Arabidopsis thaliana: one gene and its partner. The protein of the gene in region 2 interacts with the protein of the main gene of each other region in a pairwise test. Each region holds a gene or a part of one and is shown on either strand. Other genes may lie near its edges.

Region 1 (5,629 bases), on a different chromosome or scaffold from region 2:
ACGACCAATACCCCAGACCCTGACAACTCCATCAGTGTAACCACTGAACAATGTGCTTCCATCTGCACTCCAGTTCAAGCTTGTGCAGTAGATAACCTGCATTTTCATTACACATTCCCATTAGATACCATTATCAATCTCTTCCTATATGTTAACATCAAAGTCAAAACCTTTGGAGCAGAGCAACATTTAAAGAATAAAATTCCTAGTTTCAAAGCTAATGGGTAAGGGAAAAGATTTCCTACATGCAATTTCTAACCAAAATTTCACTTTTTTTTTGTCATAACCAAAGATAATTTCATCACTACTTTTGGTGCATTCACTAACCTATCAATAGAGAACCAATTACTATAGTGAAATCATAAGATAATGACGTACCTTCTTCTGGTTACCAGTTCCAACACCACCTTCATTCTTCTCTGCCTCAGACTTGAGATCAACCTTCAAGTCCTCAACAACAGACTTGCTCTCAAGATCCCAAATCCTAATGCTATTCTCAGTAGCAGCACACAACCAGTATCTGTTAGGACTGAAGCAAAGCGAGTGAATAATCGAACCCGCCTCAAGCGAGTAAAGCTTCTTTCCTTCAGCCAAATCCCACAACAAGATAACACCATCTTTCCCACCACTGGCGCATAGCGAACCATCAGGCGAGACAGCAACAGTGTTGAGGTAACCAGAGTGACCAACAAGAGAGTTCCTCAGCTTACAGTTCTGGAGATTCCAAACTTTCACAGTTTTATCCCAAGAAGCAGATACAATAGTTGGTACAAGAGTATTAGGACTAAACCTAACACAACTAACCCATTCCTTGTGACCATCACCTTCAGAGATGGTATACTTACACTCACCAAGTGTGTTCCAAAGCTTAATCGTACGATCACGAGAAGCAGACACGATCTGCCGGTTATCAGTAGAGAATGCAACAGAGAGCACATCTTTCGTATGACCAACGAATCGACGAGTTGTTTCTCCCGTGGCAAGATCCCAGAGACGGAGCTCACCGTCCCAGCTTCCGGAGAGTGCAAACTGACCGTCCGATGAGAGAACAACATCTTCCACGAAGTGAGAGTGACCTGTGAGCCTACGCTGAGCAACACCGTAAGACTTATCGTCCTTTGTGAGTTTCCAGAGGATGATGGATTTGTCACGCGACGCTGTGACGATGATGTCGGAATTGTCGATCGGCGTAGCGATGGCCGTGACAATGTCGGTGTGGGCGCGCATAATGCCCTTCAATACGAGTCCCTCGGCCATGGTTTGAGGTTTTCGGGTTTCTTCTTCTTACTCACGAAAATGGCGTAACAGAGCGAGAGATTACGAGGTCGATTGAAATGTTTGGTATTTATACTCTAGGTCTAAAAATGAATCAAATTAGGGTTTAGTGTGGTTTCTGCGAGGAGACTGGCTCATTTGGGCCGGAGTTTCCGAGTCAGGTATAAATGGGCCTCTTCTGAAATAAATTTTGTTGGAGCATTTTTGTTGTGATATAGTTGAGAAATGTTTGATCAGAGAGGGAACATAAGAGCAATTTGAACGAATTCGATTGAAATGTACAAGAGTTTACTAAAACACAAATAACACAATCGTAGTTTGTTCATAATTTAGCTTTGATTCTTATTAAGGTTTTAATCGTGAAGTGCACAGCACACAGTGGCTTTGTGATGACCTTGGTACACTTTCACTTCTTTGCCTGCTGGCATCGACCACAATCTAGCCGTCATGTCCGATGATGCTGTACAACATCATAGAAACCCGTTTAAAGATTGTTCTGATATGTTTTTCAGTGGTTTAAGTTAAGACAGAGATTAGTACCTGTTACAAGAAATTCTCCATCCACTGAGAAGACGCAGTCCCAAACCCATCTTTGATGTCCTGTTATATAAGATTTGATGATAGTGTAAGAGACGATAATGGAGAATGAATGCTGTTGACAGTAACATGGAGAACATACCTGTTAAAACTTTCTCTAGTTTAAAACCATCGACGTTCCATATTTTGACAGTTTTATCAGATGATGCAGTCGCTAGATATCTGCTAACAAATATGTAAGAGCTTCGAAAAGGAGAGGATGAAGAAAACGGTTAAAAGAGAAAGTATAAGAAACATGTTACTTGTTTGCAGGAGAGAGGAGACATTTAAGGATGTGGCCATTATGAGCTTGCAGCTTATGAAGGGGCTCAAACTCTGTCATTGTCTGTAAAAGATTTTGAATTTTTAAATGGCATGGACAATTAGAGTAATGCGACTACAACATGGTTAAACAAAAGAAAGGTTTGCATATCAGGAACACTACCTGTTTTCCACGCAACAAGCGCCATACATAACATGTTCCACGGTTGTTAGCAGCGACTACCATTGTCCCATCCCACATAACAGTTAAAGACCGTACAGCTGTATCAACTTCTGGTACCTATAGTTAACCTCAAGTGATTATCTACGGATTTTCAGAAATGAAATGAAGACGTGTCAAAGGCAATTACCAGTTCACAGCTACACGAATTTGCTCTGAGATCCCATACACGTATATTTCCATTTTGGTCTCCAGATATCAATTCAGTCTGTACAAAAAAAAAAAACAAAGTTCATAATAAAGACTAAGGAAATAGTTCATAATAACAGCTGAGACAACTACCAAAATCACAGCAGTTTCAACAGTAGCAATACAACAACTCTCTTAAACATAAAACGAAGCTGATTCCCACAGCACAACAATAACAGATGACTTCATGTACCTGATTTGGGTGTAAAACAACTGTATTAACCGCTGCAACACTTTCATACTCCTTTTGGCAACCCGGAGCCCTGCATTTTGGTTTACGAGTCAACAAGAATACAATTTAGAACGTTCTTAGTATTTTTCGTAACTTTATATTCAATATCTCCTTATCCTTTCCCAGAATCCACACTTGAATAAATCTATAAACTTTTAGCTAAAGATGAAGATGACATGATATACCTTAAGTCCCAGATCTTAACTGTGCCATCTTCTGATCCTGAATACATCCATTTTGCATCACATTGAAATCCTACTGCCATAACATTGTTGGTGTGTGAATCGTAAGTCATCACCTAATACACACGACGACTCCATCAAGATCACTCAAGCAGGTAGAAGGAAGCAAACACCACATTGAGAAAAAAAGAGAGGAGTTTTACAGGTTGAGGACTATTGGAATTGACATCAAAGAGTCGAATATGAGGATTGCAAGCTGCAGCTAGATAATGCTTATCTGGGGTTATCTCAAGCCTATTTACATGCTGCAATTACAAACATTAATTTGTCTCAGTTTTATTAATTACTCAGAATTCACAAAATCAAGGGAGAGAGAGAGAGAAACAAACCGAATCAGGATACTGAATGGTACGGTAACAGCGACCAGTTTCGGCTTCCCAGAATCGGATGGTGTGATCATAGCTAGCCGTAGCAAGAATCACAGAAGGCTGACTCATTTTCGATCGATTTTATCCCGATTGAAATATTAAACCAACCATTTCGTGATTTTTGCTGATTCCCAGAAAACAAACAAACCCCCTTTTCGAAATAATCAACAGAAGAACAAGCTAGGGTTTGGTGATTGAGGATCAAAAAACAGGGGAAAGAAAAAGGTGCAGAGAACTGTAAATTGAAGAGAAGAAGAAAAATAGGGTTTTTACCAAGCTTTTCTCATAATTAATTAACGCGGGGAGGTTTTAGTATAAATATATATCTATTGGGGTTTATTTAAATATACGAAAATAAGTAAAGGGCTATTTTGTTATTTATGAAAAGTAATAAGAAAATATAAAGAACAACTATTTGTTCACTACTTCACTGACAGACATAACGGCTGAGACTCCTTGGAAGCTTTTAGAGACGGCAACAATGGCGGCTACGAAAGCTCTGGAATTTGTTTTGCCGACGGGCTTCTTCATCCAGCCGTCATTGAACCGTCGCGGAGGAGTTAGGCTCTCCGTCGTCAAGTGTTCCATTTCTTCAGTCACCTCTACAGGCACCGCATCTGGTAACGCTCGCCGATTTCCCCATTTCCGTATTTTCACAGCTTGATTTTTTCCCAGAACTTTAGATTCGAATTGGCTTTCGATTCAAATGTTATGTATATATATGATTTTTTCAGATTACTTGTAGGCTCTTGATTCGTGCCTTAATCATCGTTTTGGTTATTGTTTCTTTTAGTTTGGATGAGCTGAAAATGTGTGTGAATGTTGAAATGTGATTCAAACAAGAGTAAAGAGGGGAGTTAATGTGTGTTAAGACACATTTGTCAGTTTTGGTTTTACAATAAATTTGGGGGTTTTTATTTTTATGTTTGTAGGACATAATGAGTCCATGGGTTTAATGGGTGCAGATACATTTCTTTTCTATATAAGCATGTAGTCTCATTTGTGAGAAATTATCAGAGATATCAGAGACATCTGAAAGTCATTCACAGAATTAAGTATCATTCAGCTAAACAGTTCTTAACCTCTGTTCTATCATCTCTGTTTCTAACAGTGAATTCCTTGTTTTACCGGTTTTGTAGGTTTTTTAGAGAAACCATGGAGCTCATACAATGCTAGGCTAGTGTTAGAAGATGGCTCTGTTTGGTCAGCTAAGTCTTTTGGTGCTTCTGGAACCCGTGTTGCTGAATTGGTATTTAACACCTCTTTGACAGGGTCAGATTCTTTTTTAGATTCTAATTTAGATTTCTAGATATTATAACTGGGTTTAGAACATTACTCATTTTAATCCTACCAGATGATCTTGACACACGGGCAATAACCCGTCGATTAAGAGAAAGCGGCAGTCTTAACGGTGTGCTTAGCACTGATGGATCCAAAACCGACGAGGAACTTTTGCATATGTCCCGCTCTTGGGATATAGTAGGTCTGAATTCTTTCACTGCCCTCCTTAAAATATGATCAGCGTGGAATATGTGATTGAGCTCTGTCTATCTGCTTGGTTGAATATTTTAGGCCTTGATCTAATAAGCGATGTTTCCTGTAAATCTCCCTACGAATGGGTTGAAAAAACAAATCCTGAATGGGAGTTTAAGACAACCTCCTCACGTCACAGGGAATCCTACAGAGTGAGTTGTACTTTCTCTTCTCTAATTTACATTCTCATCGATTTCCTCACTAGCTTCTAACTCTGTTTTCATACTTCCACTTCAAAAGGTTATTGCATATGATTTCGGGATCAAGCAAAACATTCTAAGACGGGATTTCCTCACTAGCTTCTAACTCTGTTTTCATACTTCCACTTCAAAAGGTTATTGCATATGATTTCGGCATCATACGGTTGTGAAATCACAGTTGTCCCATCGACATGGCCAGCTGCAGAGGCGCTTAAAATGAAACCAGACGGGATTCTATTCAGCAACGGTCCAGGAGATCCTTCTGCAGTGCCTTATGCAGTTGAGACGGTTAAAGAGCTTCTAGGAAAAGTTCCTGTCTATGGAATCTGTATGGGTCATCAGTTACTTGGACAAGCTCTTGGAGGTAAAACCTTTAAGATGAAATTTGGTCATCATGGAGGAAACCATCCAGTTCGTAACAACAGAACCGGCCATGTCGAGATCAGTGCTCAGGTATGCTCCATTTACTATCTATAGATTATAACCACACAAGATTAAACAGTCTAATCTTT
Region 2 (6,090 bases):
CCACCACTCCCACTGGTTTGATGAGCAAGTATCTTTGATTATGTTGTAAAATATATGAATCATCATGTCAGGAGTCAAGTTAATTTGCGTGTAGCTTTGTGGAATCCAGTTTTACTATGGCTAATTTCCCACTTGGTGTATTTATTTCACGCTAAATTCCAATATTTCATTCCGTGCAGATATGAAAGAAGATTCTCAGAGCTGAATGTCTGTATTCAGGTTCGAATAGTCAAATTAATATTTGCCTCGTTGCTTTGCAGGTTTGTTTCTTAGTTGAAAATGAACTTGCTAGCTTGACGAACATTTGTTTGATATCTGACTAAAAACAGGAGAAACTTCAACAAACTAGGAAGCTCTATGCAACATACAATGCTCTTTTAGAAATCAAAGATTTGATGCTTAAGGAGACATCATTATTGAATTCCATAGGTTCACAGGTAAAATACAGGCATTATTATTTTGTTGATTTTCTATAACTAGCATCATCTGCTTTGTACTGTTCTCCACGTTGTACCTTTAGTTGTCATGTACTTATATCGTTGAGAATAGCTTATGTTCATTACTAAGTTGATTTACGTCTCTGCTTTCCCCTTTTAGTATATCTCTTGGTGAGTCAAAGTTTCACCATAATTCCGTTGACTTGATTGTAGTTTCAAGACGTGATTGGTACTCCTGCTGGCCGTGTGAAGCTTATTGATTCAATGGAAGGAGTCATGAAAGGAATCCAACAGGTAATCTGAGTTATATTGAATCAGGTATTTGAGGCACAAAGCATGAACTAACCCATCTTACCTATCTATAGCTGTATGATTTGTCATAACAAAATGTTTAAAGTGCAGAAGATTGGAAAAATACAACTTGGGCTTCAAGAAGAGCAGAGGCTCCGTGATGCTTCAAAAGAAAAGTATATAGCTGCAGCTGCAGAGCAAAGAAAATGCTACACTGTACTAAGAGCATACCAGGTTAGCACAAGATAGGAAATAAGTGTTTATACTGAAAAGCCCGAGAGTCATCTACTTACGTAGTGCTAAATTTCTCAATGGCAGGAGGAATGTACTAAGAATGAGAGGCTGAGAAGTCATATATCTGCCATGAACGAACACCTCTGACTCGAAGAAGGGTTTGAATAAGGTGATATGAAGTGACTCTCCTTTCGAGTTACAGCTAACCAGAGTAGAGCCAGAGTTGATTTAGATATGATTCTCTTGTGATGTGATGTATCCATATGCTCAGCCTTACATGGAAATATACGAAAATCGATAGGCCTAGAAATAGTAGGTTTGGTTGACCAATATGTTTATATATGAGCTATGAGAAAATATTATTCTCTAAATCATTGAGGAGATGAGTTTGAATACAAACCTAGAAAGGTACAGAGCATTGTACAAAGCTATCAAGTCAACAAATAACAACTTAGAAGAAGTTGACCAAAAACAAAAAAAAAACAAAAAAAACAACAACTTAGAAGAACAGCCACACTCATCGTCTCTCATATTCAGACTTTAATCATGTGGCTTCTTTTTCAGGATCTGATCTGTGAACCGGATCTCTGATATCTCGTCCCCTTGAGATGATGCTTCCTTGATGCTCTCTACCTGCAAATCATACATGTACATGGTTTTATGGCTCCTCAAACAGATTCAAGTTGATAAAACCCAGAACAGTTGATAACTCTTTACTGTTGTATCCTCATTTTATTATGTCACAATGCAAAATAAGACCTGATTACTCTACTCCACTCAGTATTTGTAAGAAGCTAACCAAAATTTCTGCTGAAATCTGGTTTTCTTTAAAAAGAAGTCACCTGGTTGTGTAAAGATCCGGTGACAGGCACTGGAGGTAGGTTGATGACTCGGCCTTGCACGAAATTCCGGGGGCATTTGTGGTGTTTCCTTAGAGCTGCCTCCTTCATACATTTGGCCTAGCTTGTATGGACCGTCACTTGTGTTGTTCTTCGACTTCGGTTTATGAGACAAACCCGTAGACCATGAGCCTCCGCTTGATCCTGCCAAGGCCATTATCACATCCGCCTGCAAAAAAATAACATTCATCAGATGAACTTCTCAATTCTCTACCTTTTTAGATATCAAAATGTAGTCAAATAACTTGAATATCAAGTGTATAAGTGTTAGGGAGAATCACCTTGTTTGGGTGAACGTCATCAAAGACATGAGCTTGACCGCCATAGAAGATGGTCATTTGCTTAGTACTCGACGCCAAGTCTTTCCGATTTCCGGTACTGCAAATACAAAGTGTATTGAAATGACTCGAAGAGTATCGAAAGACCAGAGACACAAAACACTAGAAGCTAACTGACTTTGAAGGGGCAAAACTTTCGAGCTTGCTTGAGTTTGGCATTGTAAAAGAACTCAAGATACCGGGACCTTTCATCCCTGTTCGTGAACCTTCATCAGCAGCTGTCTGAGCAATAACTGATGGGCCTACGTTCTCATCTTTGAACCTGCTAGTAGACAGCTGATGAAGCAAATGACTGATCTGTCCTCCTCCGCGTGGAGGCTGGTTTGCCAAAGGATTCACATTCATGGAGAAGCTTCCAGGTCCGTTTCTAAGCAACTAGGTTATGACAATGACATATTACAGAAACTGAGTTCTACGTAGCTGTGACCATGGTGAAGTTGTGTAGGTTCTGTTTTTTTTTTAGTTACCTTGGACCAATGCAGAGTCTCTGGGTGCTCCTGAGTCGTGAAGTGAGAATCAGAGTTACTTCTCTTATTTCCTGAAAACCGATTGCTCATGATTGAGCCAGAAACATCACTTCTTGGTCCAAACAATTGTATCCCATCAAGATGATTCCCACCGCCGCTGTGTCTTTCGACTAAACAATGATAAAATATGGATAAGTAACTTAAAGATTGTTGTGGGAGGGAACTCAAGGAGATAGAGAGAGAAAACGAGAGGCAATAAAGAAGGGCCAATTCATATAAAAAAGGATCACAACCTCAAATGGCTATGACCCACCAAACTCATCAGTCAAATTCACTCTCAATGTCCCAACTAATCCACCAGAGGGCATTATGGTTGGGCAGAGAGAGAGAGAGAGAGAGAGAGAGAGGGAGAGTCCTTAACACTACAAGAGGTCAAGCAACCACATGCCCACACACAATCCATGTTCATGTTTCTTAAATTGTCGAACTAAAAAAGCAATGAGGCAAGAAATGAAACAAGACAATGTACATTCACATTTTGTTCAACCTTATGAACCCAAAGATGTTCCATTTTCAACTTAAGAGATCTAATCATAAATGAATTGACTAAAAAATTTGAAACTAACTCACATGATCTCTTACATTTTCAAATCATGGTGAATCAAAGCTCGATCGTTAATCCAGACTAGGGGGAAAAGAAAGAATCCAACTTTAAATCGAATCTATGTAACAAAAGTTGAACTTTCTATAGATAGAAACCCTAAATGTACAGAGGAATCAGCTCAAAACCTCATCAGCGTAAGCACACTACGTCAACAACAACAAAAACATCAGGAGAGAGAGATAGAGAGACAGAGCAGAACCGAGATCGGAGGTTGAGGAGAGACCGCCGAGTCCACCGGCGGAGGAAGCAGAAGCCGTGGAAGGAGTCATCGCCGCTTTAGCCGCCTTATTATCCGGTGGTAGCCTATGGTCAGCCATGGAAGTGGATGCTAAAGTAGGATTCTTGGAGCCTAAAAAGTCATGGAACAAGAGCTTATCTTGTTCTGTCTGTCGGAGACGAGAATCAATATCAGTGGGTCGCTGGCCATTGTTGTGGTTCACCATCATGAAACCAGTGTGTCAGTGTGGCCACTTCGCCACCACATCCTCCGTTACAGTCTTTCTCTCTGTCTCTGGCAGAGTATTATTTCATGGACACACTCAACGAGAGAGAGAGAGAGAGATATTATCAGTTTTTTGTTTTTTGTTTTTCTGGGTAAGTGTATAATAAAGCTTGTCTTTTTCTTCTTCAAGCTACTTTATTGGGTTTCTCTTACATGATTTTAATTCCCTTTAATATTATAATAATCACATCTTTCAAATAATATATGATTAAAAGTTCAGCCCAAAAGAAAAAAGTACGATTGTAAAATCATGGCATTATAGACTCTTTTTAAATTAAGGTTATCATAGATTCATAATGTTATTGATTTGAGAAAGTGAGTTTGTGTATCTAATCTAACCAACACACTATAATTTGGTGTAGTAGTACAATGTTAACTACTTTACTCATATGTGGTTGTTAGATCGATTAGTTAAATAATTTTTATACACATAATTTTATCATTACGCGCCAAATAATCTGTTTTAAAATTAAAATGCAAAATGTATGCATATAACTTTACCTAAATATATGGTTTTGAGATGAGAGTTGTTGAATTTTGAATGATTATAAGTGTTTGATTTCTTACTCTAATATGAGTAAGAGAGAGAACTCATGAACCAACCACTCATGACGAATTTCTATACTCTTAAATGAAATCGATTTTACAACTACTCATGACGATTTTTCCCACTTTAATCTAGTTTAATTATGGAGTATTTAAGATGTTTATTGAAACCACCAAATTAGTATTAGCTGATTTTTTAATCAACTAGTCTCCGGACTGTGATTAATTGGGTTGATAGAAGTATAATGGTCATTTATATGGGAATTGGGAACACGTGTTGTTTTTCTTGTTCTTACTACACAAACCTTAACTAGATGTTTGTGATATGGAGGCTCAAGTATCTGGGTTAACAATAGAGCTAGGGGTAAACTTTCCAGTAGGCTTATGTTCTTCCCATATGAACATAATTCCTTCAACGACAAGACATAGCACGTGTTCTTCAAACAACAGTAGCAGGTCAACTTTAGCAACATGTTTGCTCCAAGTAGCTACCTGATATATATCCACAAGAATTCCAACTATAAAGAAAGTACTCAATAGATATTAAAAATCGAGGCTCTTCAGGAGTACCATTCATGAATAACATAACAGGGTGAGTTTTTCCAAACGATTCTTGAGAGCATCAGCGGTAGATACAGGCTGAGCTCGGTCTTGTCCAGAAGCTTTCGCATTCTTCTTAACAGTTTCAAGAATCGTTGGCCCTGCAGCCAACCCTAAGCTTGCAGGAGTAATAGAACCAGCAACTTTGCCAACTTTATTAGCTAAACTTGATGGATCTGCCCCTTCAAGTGTATCCACAGTTTTGCCATCCTTCAATAAGAAAAGGATTCAGTGCAGTGACAAAGATTCAAGCTTTGTCAATAAGCCAAAAAATTGCAACCAAACAAAGAATCAATATGCCTAAAGTTTACCTTGAAGAAGACGAAATACGGCACAAGAGCAACAGAATAAGCCTCAGATATCTCAGGATGTTCCTCAGCTTCTACCTAAGAAGATAAATAAAACCAATCAAAGTCAAAAACCAATTGAAAGAGATAAAATTCGAACAGAGACGACGAACCCTAAAGAAGTGAGCACGAGGGAAATCAGTAGCGAGATGAGAGAAAACTTGATCCATCTGCTTCGAAGCGTCACACCAAGAAGCCCAGAAGTGAAGCACGAGTGGTGCTCCGCTGTGGCGCAAGTTATCAAGCTCCTCCTTTGAAACGATATCCTTCACAGTACCACTCATCTTCGAAGAGGAAGGAGATGTCGCGTCTCTCTCGGAAGGATCTCCAACACTTTTTCTTTTCTTTTTGTGATTACCAATCTATTATCGAGCAGAATTCTTCTGTTGCTGGAGAAGGAAAAGAGATTTATGTAACTAAGAAAAAAAAATGGTCGGAGAGGGAGATTTGATTTTGTGTCTGTATCGTACGTGTCACAAACTCTCAAAAGTTTGATAACTGTCAAATATACCACATGACAAGTAAACTATCTTTTACTGGGTTATATAGTTGAAAATAATCCGCTAAACGATGATAGTGAATTTTGTTGTTTAAGTGACAGTAAGATGGCGAACAAAGTATACTATATGATATGATTGTTTGCACAATTGGTAATCTCACTGTTCTGCTTTCTTGTTTCCCACTTACTTTTCTTGCTTATCTCACATGAAACAGAAACAATGCATACTAGATGCTTCCCTCAGACATAAATCATCAGAAAGTTAA

What was found. Proteins that work in one complex are often made in the same cells at the same time.
Region 1: the proteins of TIFY8 (region 2) and LST8-1 interact in binary tests that used the Arabidopsis thaliana proteins (3 or more experiments, as listed by UniProt).

Annotation. Positions count from the first base shown.
Region 1 is NC_003074.8:6,211,115-6,216,743, forward strand, and holds LST8-1 (Transducin/WD40 repeat-like superfamily protein), read right to left. Parts: upstream 3,691-5,629; 5' UTR 3,454-3,690; coding exon 3,346-3,453; intron 3,262-3,345; coding exon 3,160-3,261; intron 3,073-3,159; coding exon 2,960-3,072; intron 2,806-2,959; coding exon 2,736-2,805; intron 2,562-2,735; coding exon 2,484-2,561; intron 2,414-2,483; coding exon 2,297-2,413; intron 2,198-2,296; coding exon 2,115-2,197; coding exon of another isoform or gene 2,111-2,114; exon of another isoform or gene 2,035-2,110; coding exon 1,955-2,034; intron 1,876-1,954; coding exon 1,816-1,875; intron 1,736-1,815; coding exon 1,629-1,735; 3' UTR 1,471-1,628; downstream 1-1,470. Other genes in the region: RACK1C_AT (receptor for activated C kinase 1C), read right to left, coding at 1-96, 379-1,257. UniProt on the Arabidopsis thaliana protein: Component of TORC1 complex, which is an essential cell growth regulator that controls plant development. Acts by activating transcription, protein synthesis and ribosome biogenesis, and inhibiting mRNA degradation and autophagy.
Region 2 is NC_003075.7:15,714,927-15,721,016, forward strand, and holds TIFY8 (TIFY domain protein 8), read right to left. Parts: upstream 3,942-6,090; 5' UTR 3,777-3,941; coding exon 3,530-3,776; intron 2,837-3,529; coding exon 2,667-2,836; intron 2,575-2,666; coding exon 2,318-2,574; intron 2,240-2,317; coding exon 2,143-2,239; intron 2,031-2,142; coding exon 1,805-2,030; coding exon of another isoform or gene 1,740-1,804; intron 1,734-1,739; exon of another isoform or gene 1,596-1,733; coding exon 1,507-1,595; 3' UTR 1,306-1,506; downstream 1-1,305. Other genes in the region: AT4G32560 (paramyosin-like protein), read left to right, coding at 180-219, 330-437, 651-731, 840-962, 1,047-1,109; AT4G32580 (Thioredoxin superfamily protein), read right to left, coding at 4,952-5,188, 5,290-5,364, 5,439-5,609. UniProt on the Arabidopsis thaliana protein: Repressor of jasmonate responses.